Linked DNA regions of Ovis aries. The protein of the gene in region 2 purifies or fractionates together with the protein of the main gene of each other region. This does not show direct contact. Links are inferred from orthologs where the notes say so. Each region holds a gene or a part of one and is shown on either strand. Other genes may lie near its edges. The genes, in order: SRPK2, DGCR8 and USP36.

Region 1 (6,060 bases), on a different chromosome or scaffold from region 2:
TGGAAGTTCTTGGTCTGCATAATGCTGAAGCCTAGCATGCAAGATTTTAAGCATGATTTTACTAGCATGGGAGATAACTGCAGTTGTCTGATGGTTAGCACCTTCTTTGGTATTGCCCTTCTTGGGAACTGGGGTGAGGATTGACCTTTTCCAGTCCGGTGGCCACTGCTGGGTCTTCCAGATTTGCTGACATAATGAATGCAGAACACTGATGGCATCCTCTGTTGAAGTGAAGTCGCTCCGTCGTGTCCAACTCTTTGCGACCCCATGCACTGTATGTAGCCTACCAGGCTGCTCCATCCATGGGATATTCCAGGCAAGAGTAGTGGAGTGGGTTGCCATTTCCTTCTCCAGGGAGTCTCCTGCATTGTAGGCAGACACTTAACCATATGAGCCATCAGGGAAGTCCTGTCCTCTAGGGATCTGGATAGTTCTGCTGGAATTTCATCACATTCACTAGCTTTATTAACAGCAGTGCTTCTCAGGGCCCACCTGACTTCACGCTCCAGAATGTCTAGCTCTGGGTGACTCACCACACCATTGTAGTAATCCAGTTCATTAAGATCTTTTTTATACAGTTCTTTTATGTATTTTTTTTTTCCATCTCTTCTCAATCTCTTCAGTGTCTGCTAGGTCTCTACCATTTTTACCCTTTATTGTGCCCGTCTTTCGGCAGAATGCTTCCTTGATGTTTCCAATTTTCCTGATGAGATCTCTAGTCTTACTTCTTTTGTTGTTTTCTTTCATTATTAAACACTGTTCACTGAAGAAGGCCTTCTTGTCTCTTCTAGCTGTTCTTTGAAACTCTGCTTTTAATTGGATATACCTTTCCCTCTTTCATTTTTCCCTTCTCTTTGTTCTTCTGCTGTTTGTAAAGCCTCCTCAAATAACTGCTTTGCCGTCTTGCTTTTCTTTTTCTTTGGGATGGTTTTGTTCACCGCCTCCTGTACAATACTATGGACCTCTGTCCATAGTTCTTCAGACACACTGTCATATAGATCTAATTCCTTGAATATACTTGTTACCTCTACTGCAAATTCATGCAGGATTTGATTTAAGTCATACCTGCTGGCCTAATGTATTTCTCAGTTTTCTTTAGTTTAAACCTGAACTTTGCTATCATGATCTAAGCCACAGTCAGCTCCAGGGCTTGTTTTTGCTGACTATATACAGCTTCTCCATCTTCAACTACGAAGAAGGGAATCGGTTTGATTTCAGTATTGACCATTTGGTGATGTCTACATGTAAAGTTGTCTCTTGTGTTGTTGAAACAGAGTATTTGCTATGACTAATGCAGAATTCAGTTAGCCTTTGTTTGCCCTGCTTTATTTTTTGTTCTCTAAGGCCAAATTTGCCTATTACTCCAGGTATATCTTGACTTCCTACTTTTGCATTCGAATCCCCATTGATGCATAGAGTATCTCTTTTAGGTGTTAGTTCTAGGAGGTCTTCTAGGTCTTCATGGAACTGATCAATTTCAGTTTCTTCAGCATCGGTGGAATGGGCATAGACTTGAATTACTGTGAGGTTGAATGGCTTGCCTTGGAAACGAACCAAGATCATTCTATCATTTTTGAGGTTGCACCCAAGTCCTGCATTTCAGACTCATTTGTTGATTATGAGGGTTACTCTGTTTCTTCTATGGGGTTCTTGTCCACAGTAGTAAATATAATGGTCATCTGAATTAAATTCGTCCATTCCCGTCCATTTTAGTTTGCTGATTCCTAGGATGTCATTGTTTATTCTTACCATCCCCTGCTTGATCACTCACAACTCACCTTGATTCATGGACCTAACATTCCAGGTTCCTATGCAGTACTGTTCTTTGCAGCACCGGATTTTACTTTTGACAACCAGACACATCCACAACCGAGCGTTGTATCCACTTTAGCCCAGCCACTTTATTCATTCTATTAGTACTTCTCCTCCACTCTTCCCCAGTCGCATATGGGACACCTTAGACCTGGGGGACTCATCTTTTGGTGCCATATCTTTTTGACCTTTTTTAATAGTTTGTGAAGGTTCTCATGGCAGGTATAACTGGGGTGGTTTGCCAGTCCCTCCTCTAGTGGATCACATTTTGTCAGAACTCTCTGCTATGATGTGTCTGTCTTGGGTGGCCCTGCATGGCATAGCTCAGAGCTTCATTGAGTTATGCAAGCCCCTTCGCCACAACAAGGCAGTGATCCATGAAAGGGATTAAATATCTGAAACCTTAAATTCTTACTGAGAACACTTTGCTTGTCTCAAGTGTCTCATTTTCATTGAAATTCATTTTAACACATTTGGATACTGGATCATATTAACTCTTACCTAAGCAGCTTCACACACAGTGAAACAACCTAAGAACTACGAAAGAACTAAGGTGGAAAGTTAGGAACAACTTGTTCATGAGATGGTAGTGAAAGATATTTTTGGAAAGATGCTGACATTTTAACTTTGAGTTAATATTTGATGATTGAAGTGAAATTTTAGTTGAAATAATTAAAAATAGTTTAAACTTTCTAAAAGTCTTATTCCTTTTACTTCCACAGACGGGAAGTCATCAGTGTACTTGTCCATTAATTTCTTGTACTTCTCAGAATTTCTCTTACTACTCATATATAAGAACTCCATGTGATACTTCAGTTTGCCCAAAGAAGATGCATGAATGCCAGTGAATATATACAGGCTCATTGAATTGTGTTCCCTTCAGAATTATAACCTTATTCTCTATGGAAACATATAATGCTATGTTTCGTACTGTTGGTATTTGGACATTTTAAACATAATTTAAACATATTCTAGTTGAAGTATTATCTAAAACATTAAATATTAATTTTAAGGTAAAGTCAAAGCCTCGTGGAGATGGGGAACTTTGTTTATTGCTGTGTATCAAACATCTATAAGCATATGCAGCCTGTTATAGGAGCTCAACTGATGCTCAGTCAGTGAAGTCATGTGAAAGTATTTCCAAGGAAAAGTTTTTAAAATGAATATGAGGATTTTCATCTTGGTTAAGAGACTCATGTTCCTTCTACTTTCCTTGCGAAATCTGTGCCTTCACTTACTAATGTTTTGTCATCTTAAGATTGTTTGGGCTTCCCTGGTATTGGCTCAGCTGCTAAAGAATCTGCCTGCAGAGCAGGAGAACTGGGTTGGATCCCTGGGTTGGGAAGATCTCCTGGAGAAAGGCTACCCACTCCAGTATTCTGGCCTGGAGAATTCCATGGACTGTATAGTCCATGGGGTCACAAAGAGTCGAACACGACTGAGGGACTTCTACTTTCAAGATTGTTTAGCCAGAAACTGAAGGTAGACAGAAGCATTGGGTTTTTGCTGAGAACTTTTCCGAGTTGTTCAGTATTAGATATCTTCTGCTTGTCTTTTCCTCACTTCCTTGTCTAATGTGATCAAGACACCAAATGACTTAAAATGTTTGAATGAAGATGTTTATTAAATGCAAATGTTTATTGAGCATGTAGAATTTGTAATATATGGGAACATGAACTGTATTTTAAAATATTTTTTTTCCTTATGAAAAGAAAGAATTCCCCTCTTATGGAAATAATTCCAGAAAAACTTTGGCCTGGCATTTAGGTCACCATACTCTGTAATTTTTGCTATATATATATTTACACAGACACACACACATGGTAAGTATGTGAGTATCTTGGTTTAGCAGTTTCTTTTAAATCAGTACTATATAGTTTATAGCCTGGGTACCAAAGCTACCTAATTCTCCTTTCCTACAATATTAGAAATGTACAGACATCATTAGCCATTATGGGAATGCATATCAATGAGATACACACTTCACACCCACAAGAGTGACTAAAATGAAAAGACAGATAACAAGTATTGATCATCCGGAAAAAACTGTAATCCTTGCACATTGCTGATGGGAATGTAAAATGATGCAGCCATAGATAGGATAAAACAGCTTGGCAGTTTATTGAAAGACTAAAGATAGAGTTACAGTATGACCCAATAATTGTGCTACTAAGAAAAATAAAGACATGTCTACATAGAAACTTGTACATGAATGTTTATAGCAATATATTTATAGTAGCCATAAAATGGAAAGAACTCAAATGTTCATCATTGAATGACTAAACAAAATGTATTTTCAGTGGAAAATTATTTGGCATCTAAAAAAAATGAGGTATTGCTATGTGCTACACATGGATGAACCTTGAAAGTATTGGGCCAGGTACAAAAGACCACTCTGTATCATTCCACTTACATAAAATGTCCAAAGCCAGGAAAGTAGATTAGTGGTTGCTTAGGGCTAGAGGAGTTGGAAGGAGATGGGGAGTGACTGCTAATGGGTGCAGTGTTTCGTCTTTGTGTGATGAACATGTTCTAAATTATATAGTGATGACCGTTGCACATCTAAAAACCATTCTATTGTACACTTAAAAGGTTGAATTGAAAAAAAAAGGGTGAATTGTGTGTCATGTAAATTATATCTCACCAAAGTTGTTATTTTAATAAGCATATGTTTAAATGCATTTTCTTATATGAGCATAAATTATCTCCAGAATGATATACACTGGTTGCTTATGGGAAGGAGCTGGGTTCCTGTCGGGCCCAAGTTCCTATTGTGCCTTGTAATGACTGTAACTATTTTACAAATAAATGTTGAATAATAGAAGTATTAATAACTCCTTCCTGATTTTATGTGATCAGGTCCTTCAGGGGTTAGATTATCTCCACAGTAAGTGCAAGATCATTCATACTGACATAAAGCCAGAAAACATCTTGATGTGTGTGGACGATGCATATGTGAGAAGAATGGCAGCCGAGGCCACCGAGTGGCAGAAAGCGGGCGCTCCTCCTCCTTCAGGGTCTGCAGGTGAGAGGCTGGGCCAGCTTTGTGTCAGTCTGTGTAGGGGCATTGAGAGCCTGCAAAGTTGTTCATAGGAAGCAGTTGAGTTAAACGTGTACATGTTAGGAACTTGCATAAGAGCCCGATGACTGGTAATAATTAGACCTTTTTCTTGAGAAGGAAGATGCCCCAGTTAAGTCGTACTTTAATATTTGAATTACTTAGCTTTGTCCTCCCTTAAAAGGTCACTGAATTCTTCTTACCTGCTGCTTCATTTTCATTTGAACTCTGTCTGCGTCGGCCACTTCTCTACAAAGGAGTGTATAGTAACAGGTTTCCTGTAGCCAACCTACAATCGTCAGCATGCTTCCTTGTCTCCATTGAGCATAGTTACATCAGTGTAACTGGTGCACTTAAAATTAGTTACAAGAACTTCAGGGTGAAAGAAGATCAACTGACTTGAGCATTGGTGTATGAAGTTTTATTTCTGGTTTTCACAAGGTGTCAAGGTGGCCATGAAGTGTGGATGATGCTTTCATCCTGTCTGCACGTGCTTTCTGCCCTAGTGTGTTGTCAGGTAGCACAGGGACTGCAGAGTGAAAGCCCTCAAACTGAGGCTTTTGGCAGATGAACCACTTATGAATCTTGTTTTCTACCATCAGGTTGCTGTTTAGATAATGGAACCATAGTCTGTGAAGCTTTTGACATTGGCCAAGTCTGTTCATGTCATTTCTAGACTATTTGTAGTAGTATTGGATCTATTTTAGTTGTATGAACTTGTGAAATAGTTTTCAAACAGAGATGTGGAAGTTAATTGTTCATTTCTTTGTCTATAAACAAGTTGGGTTTTGTCACTCTTCTCCATTTTTCTTACCAGTCAGTGTTTTGTGATTGTGTGTTTTTGAAATGAATAAGTGTTTAATTTCAGGTTAATAAGAGAAATGACTCCATGTGAACCACTATGGCTTTGCTTTTTAAGAGCCAATCATTTGTTTGAGTTGGATAAACTTTCTTTAGGACTCTATGATTAACAAGCTTTAATATTTAAAGCTGTTTAAAGTTGTTTAAGTTGCATAGCCATTAAAAGGCAGTAGTTATTTCATTTTACAGTTCAGATTACCTACAAAAAGATAAGTATCTGTTTCACTCTAAATGTTCACTTTATTTTGTTTTGTTTTTAGTGAGTACCGCTCCACAGCAAAAGCCTGTAAGTACTTACATATATACTTCTATTACCTCCTTGTCAAAAG
Region 2 (6,060 bases):
CGCCCGCGGGGCTGAGGCAGTGGCTGCGCCCACCCCAGCAGGGGGACCCAGGACCAACAGGCACACACCCCGCGCCAAGAGGCCCCACAGTCGTGAGCAAAGGCCGTCTGGACAGTGGCGCCGGCCAGCAGGCGGGTCTCCCGGGCGCAGGGGCGGGCAGGCGCAGACGGGGCCCTCCTCCTTAGGGGCCAAGTTCACGCGAAGCTTACCGACCGACTCGTCCTTGCACACCTCCACCTTGGCCTTCACCTGCCCCAGGGCCCCGGGCGCCGCCTCGGCCCCCAGGGGGTCCTTCTCGTCTGGGGGCCCCGCGTCGGCACCCAGGGGGTCGGGCTCATCCGGGGGCAGCTCCGGCTCCGGGGGGGCAAGCCCCGCGCCCCGCTCCCGCTCCTCGCTGTCCTTCATCTTCCGGTAGTGCAGGCAGGGGATGCTGGTCAGGGGAGGGCCGTGTTTCTGCAGGTGGGAAGACCACAGAGGTCACCAGGCCGGACGCGCAGGCCTCTGACACCCCCACCAGCCTGCCTGGCAACCACCTCCCTCTGCAGCCTGCGAGACCACATGCGGGACGGACTCGGCCCCTACCCGGATGCTCCCCGTGCCCAGGAAGTAGGGCCTGGACCAGGTGACCACCCGTGACTCCCGGTGCAGGTACACGGGCACTCCGGAGTTGTGGAACGTCATGATCCAGCCGTCGGGCAGCGGCTCCGTCGGCGGGCGGCCGCGGCCTGCGCGGGGCAAGAACAGTTACGGTCACGGCCGCGCGGGCGCCATCAGGACAGTCACAGTCTGCCCCCGGGCGGAAACAGCAGCACGCTGGAGCCCGCCTTACAGGAAAGCTCTGAGCAGGGTGGGGATGGCCCACCCCCACCAGGAGAGCCCAGCCCCGCCTGCAAGCCCACTCCTCTGAGTGCTGGGCCCGAGCCTCTGGGACCCAAGGGCGCCAAGACCCTCCTCACCTGCTCTAGTCCCCGGACACACCACAGAGCCCTGAGCAGCGCTCCGCAAGACACACGGCCTCGCTGCAGCTCTGCCGCCCTGACGCTGCCTCTCTGCCCGCCTCCCGCGGGTACAGCCACAGGGGCTGGGTAGGCTCCGCTAGGAACCGCAGACTGTGGGTCACTGCTCCCTGTGACCCGGTGGCAAGCCTGCACTGTCCCGAGCTGCCACGGACAGGCCTGCTGCTGGGAGATGCACAGGACCAAGGCTCAAGGACAGCTTGCTTTTCTTACCAGTATTGGGAGCAAGTGAAAAGCTCAGAAACAAAAGTGAAATGCCACGTGGAATCTAAAAAAACACACGGACGAGATGAAAACAACCCCACCAGCTCTTGTGGAAACGGAACGACTCCCTCGTGCCAGGCCTGACACCCGCACGCAGCTGACGCCAAGCGACCGCCAGCGTCAGGACGGCCCTGGGACGGCAGGCAAGGCTGGGCACGCACAGGCCCCCTCGGGCACCCCTGCCCCACAGGCTGGGCCAGGAGCTGCCTGCAACCAGCCCCGGGTAACCAAGGGGGAGGAGGCGTGTTGTCACCGCGAGCAGACCAGCGCGCAGGCGGCAGACACGCGCCCGGCCCTGCCGACGGGCCCGCTCTGCGGCCGGGAAACGGCGCGCCGGCCACGCCGCGGTTCCTGTCATGCTGGCCACCTGCGTGGTGCTCAGCAGAAGGCATCACCTGCGTGCCCGAGTCCCTCCAGCCCCTTCCTGCCGCCCACCCGACACCAAGAGGCACCCCCAGGCCAAGACAGAAAAAGGGGGCCCGAGAGGGCCCCGTGTCAGCAGGTGGCCGCACGGGGCGGCTCTGAGCACCCCAACCGCTCTTCCCGGTATACCCGTGACCCCTCCATCTCTGTCCACACGGGGCCACGGGTCGTGCTTTCACAGCAGACTGTGGAATGAGTCCTGCCTGCTTCCAGTGGTTTCCCCAGCACTCGGCACAGAGCCCTGAACTCAGACGGGGGCCGCGAGCAGCCCCTACGCTCAGCACCGCCCCGTCCATGGCCTCCACGCCCCGGCGCCCTCTCCCCGCACCCTGGCAGTACACAGGCTGTGTCCTCACGCTTCAAGCTGCCGGCCCCGACGGGACCCTCCTGCCTGCAGACGCACACAGCCGCCCAGACCGCCTCCCGGCAGCCTGAGCGCTCTCCCAGGCGCCTTGCTGCTTCCCGGCCCGACTCACTCTTGAGAACGGTCTTAATCTTGGTCATCATCGGCTGCACGCTCGTCTCCCCGTCCGACGGGTGGTCGCTGTCTCCGTATCTCTCCTCCGTGCGCCTCTTCTTGGGAGCACAGAGGCCCTCTTCCAGAAGAGCGTCGACATCGTTGTCAAAATCGTCCTGCAAGACACGCCGTTCAGAGCCCGCGGCCCCTGGCACCGCACTCCCGCCCGTGGGCAGGCGCCAGCGGCAACGCAGAGAGGAGGCGGTCTCAGGGGCCTAGGTGCGCCTCCGGGTGCGCTAGCACCTGAAAAGCAAAGAGGGTGACACGGCCAGCCGAAGCACACGCTCGTGACCAGCAGATCCTTCCAAGTCGGCTGAGACAAGGGCACAAGGCAGACCTGTCACCCAAACTGTGTTAGCAGAGCTGGGACCCCGGGATGCCTAACGGCTCTCTCTCCGCGTAGACCTTCCCGCCTCCTGCGGGTTTTTTCCTCGGCTACGTTGCAGCGCGGGCTTCCCAGAGATGCTGCAGCTCCCAAACGCCTCTCTCTGGGTTTTGCTAAGAGTGCTCCAAAGGAGGGGACGCCGACATACCTCGTAGGAGAAATTCAAGGCCTCTTCGTCCACTCTGTCTCTCTGCACGATCGCTTTAGCCGTGAACCCGCCTGCGCCTTCTTCATCTAGCTCCACATTGTCAGTAAAGTCTTCTAACTCATCGAGCACTGCGTACTCCACTCTCCTTTCCTGATCCAGCTCATGCTCCTCGTCCCTCTTACCCGCGCTCTCACCCCCTGCGCCTACCCCGTTCCCCACACTCCCGCCAAAGGGGCCAGCATGCACGTCCCCACTGACAGGGCTGAGGGCCAGGCCACACTCTGCCCGCACGTCGCGCTCCGCTCCCGTGTACAGCACCTTCCTGTCCTCACTCCTGCAGCTCTCCGTAAAGCTCACGCTAATCTTTACATCCTTAAGCAACTTAAGGTCAGGGGAGAACTTCCGGACCGCAGGTGCGTGCCGCGCTGTGCGCGGGCTGTGGCCACTACAGTTCGGGTCTACGAGGAGGCGGGCCTTAGAGGAGGATCCTTTGGAGAGAAGAGAAGCTCCGCAGAAGGTGAGCGGGTCCTCGGCAGGGGGCTCGGCCTGTCCATCACCACCAGAGCCAACGTCCATTAGGTCTGCATCACTGGACGTTTGCAGGGGAGGTGGTGGAGACTGTCCACGGGGCAGCGCGCGGAGGGGGCGCGCTCGGTCCTCCGTCGCCACTCCTCCTGCGGGCTCGCGCGGGAGAGGAGAGGGGCTCCCACATGTCTCCATGGTACAGTGGTTAGGACTACTTTAAAAGACCAGCGCTTTTAAGAACCTGACATAACTCTAGACAGCTAGCATGCACAAGTCCGCCGAGACCCGGGTGCGTCTGCCCGCGCTGCGCGCGCTGGCGGCTTAGCCCAGCTGGCCACATTGCTCTTTTCATTAATGTAGACAGCTTTCAGAACCACTGCCTCAATTATTGGAAATCACAATGCACTCAGCTTAGTGACCGGCGGCCGCGCGCGTCTGTCCTCGAGCCGAGGGGCACCCGTCCTCCTCCACCTGCAAGAGACGCAAAGGTGCCGTCACACAGCGGCCGAGGCCCCCGCCCCCCGGCACCCAGAGTCCAGTGCCGCCGCCCGAGGAGGGCGCCTTCCACGCTCCAGAACAGGCAAGCCTGACTCCCTTCTTCAGAGCCTGAATGATAACTTAAGTCCAGAGTCAAGTATTTTGCTAGCTGTCCACTGTATTTCCAACTTCAGAAACACAAAAACCATATTATACTTAGGGTCAAAAAGGATTAAAAAAACCGAAACTCCTCCACTACGCTGCACCGCGGCGCTCCCCTGGCTCGGCTCACGCGGCCAACCTCCCACAGCACACGGGGGCGTGTGGCTTCCATCTAGCACCAGTGACGGGGGTCCACTCACCTGCTCGGGCCGGTCAGTCAGAGGGCAAGCAGGCGGCCCTCCACTCAGCTCTGCGGCACTACGGCCTCAGAGGCGCGCCCGGGGCTCCGCCCCCAGGGACCCCAGGGCACGGGGGCAGGGGCAGTGATGCAGCGGGCTGGGCATGGCTCTGCTCCCAGGAGGAGCGCTGGGAGCCACGGGGACGAAGCCCGGCCAGGCGGGCAGGGAGGGGCCACGGGGGCCAGCTGAGCCCAGGCACGGGGGTCCTGGCAGCCGCTTGGAGCCTGGCTCCATGCTGGGGCAGCAGGGAGGCCCAGGGTGAAGGGACCCTCAGGCCACAGTTCAGTCCCTACGCAGAAGGGAGGCCCACACCCACGAGAAGAGCGGACACAGAACTGACCACACTGCCGAGCGGTGGAGGCGGAGAGCGGGACGAGGTAGCCCCGAAGACCCACAGGGCCTCTCCCCAGGGGACACAGGCAGGGCCCACAGAGGAGGGTGCTCGGAGCCTCTGGGCAGGCCCGGCCAACAGGGCCAAGGCCACCAGGACACATCGGCCAGGCGGTCACCCAATCCACAGGGGAGGCCACCCAGAGAGCGAGGGCAGACCAAGACAAGGGCTGGGGACGCAGCCCTGGGGAGTCCACGCCAGAGGGAAGACACCAGGCTGAGAAGGCGAGGCGGGACGCCCAAACACAGGGCCGCGGCAGGGAGGTCCCAGCACAGCAGAACACGTGCACACACGCACACACGTGCACACACGCACCCCACACCGTGCAGACACACGCACGAGCATGCCATGCACGTGGATGCAGACACACATGCGTGCCCACACCCCGCGGGGCGGCTTGCGGGCTGCAGACAGACAGGAAACAGCAGACACCACATGTTTGAGAGGCTGCAGTGGGGGAACAGGACACAAAAGACAGAGGCTTGTCCGGGGCGACCGACCCACCGACGACTGTTCACTGACCACCTACTCTGACGGGGTGTCAGCATGAGCGAGAGGGCAGCAGCCACTGACCTGTCTTCTACTTCCCGGGTCCCAAGGTGTCCTCATGTTTCCGAACACAAGACCTCCCCCGCAGGCACGTCTGCCAAAAGTGCTAAGGACCAAGGAAACAGGGCACACGGGTGGGGACGGACGCGGAGCCGGGAGGCCACTGAGGCGGCACCGGACACGCACGAGGACCGCCGAGCGGGGCGAGGCCAGTCTCCTGGCTCCAAGAAAGCTCATTTCAGACAGGCAGGCCGGCACGCCCAGCACTACAGGACACAGACACGACCAGGACCAAAGCCCTGGGCGCCAGGCAGGTTTGCAGAGGCCCCAGCAAGAGCCCACGCGCGATCCTGGAGGCCACAAAGGCTAAAACGAAGAGACGTGCAGAGACGGGGACACCTCCGGCCACGCTCGGAGCCTGAGAAGCTCAGTGCAGAAGCACAGAGCCAAGATGGTAACGATGAACCTGAAGGGAGGCCTTGAAGAGGTGCCCAGAGTGCAGACTGGGAGCCGCAGCGAGGGGTCCTCGGAGCTTGGGGAGCCGCCGGGCCCCGGGGGCGGCAGTGCGCTGAGGGCTCCGCTGCAGGCTGTCCCGAGCACGCTCCTGACCTTCCCTGTTTGCTATCTGCACCCGTCAACGCCTTCCACGGGGCGCACACAGAACACTGCAGATGCCGAGGACCGGAGGCAGACACAATCCCCAGCCCCAGAGCTCACACATTAGCAGAGAGACGGACAAGTAACCACTAAGAAAAACTGAGACGCGCTCAAGAGAAAGCAAAGCAAGGAGCTGAGGAAAGGGTGGGCAGCACAGGCCTCACAGCCAACACCCCCTGAAGGTGGAGGAGGGGATATTCCAGGCAACACCGAGAAGAGCAAAGGCCCCGGGGTGGGAGCACGGGGTGGCGGATGGCAGCAGTGTGCCCGCGGGAAGAGGCCAGGGCACTGAAGGCAAGCGGAGACA
Region 3 (6,060 bases), on a different chromosome or scaffold from region 2:
AGGACATCTGGTTTCACAAAAAGTTCCAGAGCACGCACGATGTTTGCAGCTTGCTGAGAAGGACAGAAACAGGGAGTACAGTCAACAGCGGAAGAAAAAGGCTGACTCCAGAAATGCCAAATGTAAGGTCTTTTTCAGGCTGAGGCAGCAGATCACGGCACTTCACTTGCCCAAGAACTGGCCTGCTCGCTACCGCCTTCTGGGAGTCAGCGCATCCCATCAGAGAGGCAACGGGGAACCAGGCTGTGACTCCTCTGTGGACCAGGATCACAGCCCCAGGGGTTCACCACGGCCGACGGGGGTCTGATCCAAACCTCAAGCTGAGGTGAGCTTGGATCCAGCAGCCTCAGAGCGGGGACAGAGGAAGGCTGCTCGGAACGGTGTGCCCTTTGTGTGGAAGCTCCCCGCGCCATGCGGGCCTCCCTGCTCAAGCCCTGCGTGCAGTGGGGTCGCTATTCACATCTGAGGGCACAAAACTGTCCTTTTTTTAACCCCTTTTTTTTTCGGAAAAAGAAAAAGGAACACAGAGAAGATGGCTGAGATGAAACACACAAAAATGGAGGATTCCAAGTATCTCTTTCCTGATCTATTTGGATCACATGCCCTGATCGGTCTTCCCGTTTTGGGTTTTCTGCCCTCTGGCCTCCCCATCCTAACGCAAATGAACATCGACCAGCATGAGGTGTGTACCCGGATTTCCAGTGCCACATCCAAGTAGGGGTCGTAGGTGTCTGAGACGCTCTTGCACATGGAGCACTTCACTGCGAGAGAACGAGGGAACGGTGGGGTGGGTGAAGGGCCCCGGGCCACCACCCCCAGGTCGCCCAGGTTTATAAGTCCGAGAACTGGAGGCACGCTCCCAGCTCACCAGCTCCCCGAGATGGGAGATGCTCAGGAGGAGAGGAGGGCAAACCCTGAGATGCCTGGCTGGCCTGGCCAGGGACACTCACCCCCACCCCAAGGGCAGCGGCCACATCTGATTAACTACGGAGTCCAAGGAAAAGCAACACCAGCGTGTCTACGGGCTCTAGACTCTGCTCCTCCAAACCCCTTCCCAGGAAGGCTGCAGGTGGGGCTGTGGGGCACAGACCCAGGCTGGAGGCCTCGGGGGCCTGGCAGGTCAGCCTAGGGGCCGAAATGAAGCGTTTCGGGTTAATACTCTAATCCCTGGCCAGAAGGGACACAGGACGTTTCTCCACTTACCCCGAGATCGGAGGTAGCCTCCAAAAATCTGATGGACCAGGGTTGTAGCCTGCGTCTGACGATCCAACCTGGAGAAAGGCCACGGCCTTCAGGTGGAGGACGGGGCCAAGAAACAGGCAGGCACCCCACCAGGCCCCATTTCATCACCCGCTCAGCGGTGGCTCCGCCCAGAGATCTCCCATAGAGCAGCCACCTCCTGTGGGATGCCCTCCTGCCCTCTCAGCAGGCAGCCTTGCCTCCTACCGGGAGCAAGAGGCCCGATGGACCTGCAGGCCAACCCTGCCTCAGTGACCCCTGCTCCCGCTCCAGCTCTGCCCTCAGTCCCGCGTGGGCACCACGCTTTCCGGAGGCCGCACGCATGCTGCTAACCCTGCTCCTCTCTCCGCAGGCGGCCCCTTCCTGCCCCCTGCAGAGTGAGCCAGGGCACCCTGGTCTCAGCCGCCCGTCCAGGCCATGTAACTCTTCATGGCTGTGCTGCCCACACATGGGCAGCTGGCTAAGGAGTACAGCTCCAGAACACACGGGGGCCAACACCGAGTCAGCCGACTTTTGCTATGCAAAACTAGGAAACAAAAAGCAACTGCCACCATCTGTCACCAGCACTCATCAGAGAAGGGACATCATAGGTCCAAAAACCGGCAGGGACATAACTTCAGACACACCCAGACCCTCTGGGTGATGCCCCCAGGACAACAGGAGCCGTCAGGACAGGAGGCCGGAGGACCACACAGGGACATACTCTCAGCCCAGCCGGGATGCAGGGACAATGCAGACATTCAGCTGCCCAGAGGCAGGACAGCAGAGCCAGATCAAGACGCCATCGAGACACTGCCACCAAGCGTTCCACCCGAGACCGAGGTCGGGAGGAAACGGCCCCTCCCATGAGGGGAGGCTCCTGGGAGTCCGGGCAGCCGGATGTGGCTGGAAGCAGCCCCGGGGGCAGCAAGGCAGACAGGCTCCTTGCGGGGCGGGGGAGGCAGGGCAAGGGGAAAAAGGAGTGTCCTGAACAAGAAACAACAACAAAAAAACCAAGGCCACACCCCTTCTGAGTCTGGATGAGAGCCACCCACCCTCCAGCATGTGCTTCGCTGCGCGGCCAGAAGGGGGCGCCTGAAGAAAGAACCAGGCCAATCGCCAAACCCCCGTTAGTATCCGAAAGCTACCAGTGCTGCCAGTACAAAATAAGAACCAGCCCCTGGGGGCAGCTCGAAGCAGAACAGTCAGTGCCAAAGCTCCGGGGTGAACTGAAGACCCCAAACGGGTGCATGGGGAGACGGAAGACCACTGTGAACAAGCCTTAAAACTAACATAACATGGCCAAAAGGAGAGAAAGTTCACTGAACTCGGGGAAAAGAAATGAGCTGCCCATGGGGGAAGGACTGAGGGGCACAGGAAAGGGGAACACGGGCTGTGTGTGTGTGTGTGTGTGAGTGTGAGTGTGGCGGGGACAGCTGAGATGCGAGACTACCAACAGCCCAACACCCAGAAAGGGAGCCGTACCATCAAATACACAAGAAACACTCCCAGGAATTAAAGGGAAAAGAGCTTTTGCTGCTCTAACACCAGCAAAAGCAATGCCAGCGTGTTTTCCCGAGGGGAGGGTCACTTCCCAGCCAGGGCGAGGTCACCGATGACAGACCAGGTTCAACTCCATCAGTCTCATCCTCTGAAACAGAGGTTTCCCATCCTCACGGCTACAACTCAACTTAACCTTCGTGAAGGGCATTCCAGGCATGACTCCTCAGCCATACTTCAGAGTCCAGGACTCAGTTCCATTCCAAGCCCAGGCAGCACTTCCTGCCTGCTTTCTCTCAATTGAACCCACAAACCCAAGAATGATACAAAAACATTCTAGCAGCAGCTGTTTCACAAAAGGGAACACTGGTCTATGCCCTCAAATTTCGGCGGAGCGAACCTCAAAAATCATCATCTCCTTACCCTTGAGTTTTCCTGCAGACTTTCAAGTTCTTGCCCAAAGACATTACGCTTCCCACTGCCCCATCCTTGGGAACGAAATGACAAGGCGGTTTCAAAAGACGGGGAGAGCCCCTGACAGCGGTGGAAGGTCCTTGGAGAGATCTATTAGAGCCTGTCCCTCTGCAAGCTGCTGGGGCAGAGACGCCGCCACCTGACCTGCAGCAGGAGAGGCCCCTTCCGGGAGAGCGGTGGACCCGCTGCTGGACCGCTCAGGGGCCCAGTGTGGACGTCCAGAGAGGCAGCTTGTGGGGAGGGGAGCACGTACTTGGCACAGCCGCTCAGGCAGGCCTTCTGCATGGCGTCGATGGTGTACCGCAGAAACTCGTGTGCGTCCTCCTGGTTTCCAAAGCGGAAGTGCCGGGCGATCTCTAAGGAGGGAAGGAAGAGGCGTCAGGCCAGCAGAGAGGAGCCCCCGCCTTCTCTTCGAACGTCCCATTCCCACTGGTCTCATGGCCATCTCTTAGAGGACCCAGGACTAAACCCAAGTGAGGAAACAGAGCCCTGCGTGACGCCCTATGTCCCAGGCACCTCCCTGACGGCAGTTATCTTCCCAGTGAGACCCTCTACGTGTAACAGAAAGCACGAATGGATGCCCAGCAGTAAGGATATGAGCTCCGCTAACTAACTAAGCCGGCTTTCCAGGAGCCAATACAGGCCATGGCAGATCACCACCATGTTGGCCCAATACAATATACACAGGTTTCAAAAACCAATGGGTGGGCTTCCCTGGTGGTCCAGTGGTTAAAAATCTGCCTGCCAACGTGGGGGACACAGGTTCAATCCCTGGTCCAGAAAGATCCCACGTACCACGGGCAACTAAGCGCAAGCGCCGCAACAACTGAGCCTGATCTCTAGAGCCTGCGGGCCCCAACTACTGCGGCTCGTGCGCCCTAGAGCCCGTGCTCAGCAACGGGAAGCCACTGCAAGGAGAAGCCCACAGGCCACAACCAGAGTAGCTCCCACTCGCCACAACTTGAGAAAACCTGCGAGCAGCCTCGAAGACCCAGTGCAGCCCAATAAATACGTAAATACCTGAAATACAGCAACAGCAATGAGACTAAGGGCCCACCTCTGCCAAGCAAAAGAGAAATCTGACTTTCACAGCACATGGGCCCTGGTTCCTCCGGTGCTGAGAAAAGGCCTCGCAGCACTTCCTCACCCACCTCCCCGCCCAAAACACACAGCCCTGGCCTGGCTGAGCCTGCAGGATCACGGGGAAGGGGCCAGGGGTGCGGGTCACCACTGGCTGGCATGCATGCCCCACGTCCATCCGGCCCCAGGGCCAGCTTTAGTCTGCTCCACTCTGTGCCTGAGGCCTCCAGGCTCAACCCCACTCCCGCCTCCCCCAACCCCCAGCACCCCCCGGCAATGCCGCCCTCCCGAGGAGGAAGCCACTCTTACTTCGCAGGTCCCGGATGAAGGACACGGGCTTGATGGCGTTGCCGCTGTTGGCGAAGGCCTGGATGATGTGGTTCTGCATGACACACAGCATGCAGAAGCTGCCCTGGTGACCTGCGGGCGTGGACACGCGGTCACGGTAGGGCTCTGGGAATTCCCAGGAGAGCTGACGTCACGGCCTCCTGGCTGGCAGAGAGCAGAGGCCCCCAGCCCGCCCAAGCCCTGCAAGGCTGGCGGCACCAGGAACCCGTCTCTCCTGAGACCCAGCCCAAGGAGCGTGAGCTGCCAAGCTCGGTTTAGAACGTGTCCTCTGACCTGCAAATCGCATCACATGGTCAATGGCAGAGAACATTTCAGGCTTCCCGACAGACACCCCTTCACTTGCTCTTCAGCATGGGAACCTCTGCTCTGCTGCTCCCAGGAGACACCAGGGCTCAGCCAGCTCCGGGGAGACCCCAGGCCCCGACTCTGCGGCTCTGCTGCCCCAGGGGACACCTACATGGAGGCGGGACGAGTCGGTTGCTGGCCAGATGGTGCCCCCGAGGCTGGGCCAGCCCCCTGCTGGGGATAAGCTATTTGCTCCCCCAGGCGTTAGGCTAGACAGTGCTACACTTCTGTGTGTGTGTGCACGCTCAGTCGTGTCTGACTCTTTGCGACCCCCTGGACTGTAGCCCGCTCCTCCGTCCAAGGGATTTCCCAGGCAAGAGTACTGGGGTGGGTTGCCATTTCTTCCTCCAGAGGCTGTTCCTGGCTCCGGGAGTGAACCTGCGTGTCTTCCGTCTCCTGCACGGGCAGGCAGATTCTAGCTACACTTCTAATTGTGAACTATCTTAAAGACAAAGAGAAGAGCAAAGACGACGACACCGTTTCAGGCGCTTTGTAAGTCAAGCACAGGTATGACGGCTGAACTCCCCTCTCAGCCTCTCACACCCCGGCTCCCCATGTCCTTTGTCCTCTGGCAGCAGGGACCCGCACCCTAACTGGTCAGCGCTGTTCCTAGTCATGGGTTCACCCTACTCCACACGTGGCACTCACCAGTATACTGCGGCTGCACGTTTAAGCTCGCTTTCTATGAACTGTACCAAGCTGCCCTTTAGCCCTCCCTCCAGACCACAGTCCATCCACACAGCCCCCTGCTCACTCACGTCAACCCCTCCCTCTTCCTGCAGTCACAACGCTGGGGTGAGTGAATGGTCCCGTACCCACCTCCTGTATGCGTGTGGGTTTCTCTAAGGCACACACCTACAAGATACACTTCTGGGGCCAAAGGCAAACACATCTCTAGTTCTACAAGATACTGTAACCTCAAATATACGGCATGACCTTCCCAGACAGATCCGACCAGGGATCAAACCCGGGCCCTTGGCACTGAAGGTTCAGAATCCTAACCACTGGACTGCCGGGGAATTCCCCCCAATTTCCAATCTGTCTATGATTTCTGCTGCAGGAATATCATTCTCAACCAAGGAGAGCGCACTCCCT

What was found.
Region 1: the proteins of DGCR8 (region 2) and SRPK2 purify together in Homo sapiens (affinity purification with mass spectrometry; 3 studies listed by BioGRID and IntAct, with this or other methods). This does not show direct contact. The link is inferred for Ovis aries from reciprocal best matches to the Homo sapiens genes DGCR8 and SRPK2.
Region 3: the proteins of DGCR8 (region 2) and USP36 purify together in Homo sapiens (affinity purification with western blotting; 3 studies listed by BioGRID, with this or other methods). This does not show direct contact. The link is inferred for Ovis aries from reciprocal best matches to the Homo sapiens genes DGCR8 and USP36.

What each region holds. Positions count from the first base shown.
Region 1 is NC_056057.1:47,827,694-47,833,753, reverse strand, and holds part of SRPK2 (SRSF protein kinase 2), read left to right. Parts: exon of another isoform or gene 1-4,671; coding exon 4,672-4,837; intron 4,838-5,991; coding exon 5,992-6,017; intron 6,018-6,060. UniProt on the Homo sapiens protein: Serine/arginine-rich protein-specific kinase which specifically phosphorylates its substrates at serine residues located in regions rich in arginine/serine dipeptides, known as RS domains and is involved in the phosphorylation of SR splicing factors and the regulation of splicing.
Region 2 is NC_056070.1:73,002,435-73,008,494, reverse strand, and holds part of DGCR8 (microprocessor complex subunit DGCR8), read right to left. Parts: intron 5,203-6,060; 5' UTR 5,121-5,202; intron 3,750-5,120; 5' UTR 3,474-3,749; coding exon 2,754-3,473; intron 2,337-2,753; coding exon 2,180-2,336; intron 726-2,179; coding exon 583-725; intron 454-582; coding exon 210-453; intron 1-209.
Region 3 is NC_056064.1:52,870,977-52,877,036, reverse strand, and holds part of USP36 (ubiquitin carboxyl-terminal hydrolase 36), read right to left. Parts: intron 4,693-6,060; coding exon 4,582-4,692; intron 3,549-4,581; coding exon 3,446-3,548; intron 1,272-3,445; coding exon 1,204-1,271; intron 762-1,203; coding exon 691-761; intron 54-690; coding exon 1-53. UniProt on the Homo sapiens protein: Deubiquitinase essential for the regulation of nucleolar structure and function. Required for cell and organism viability.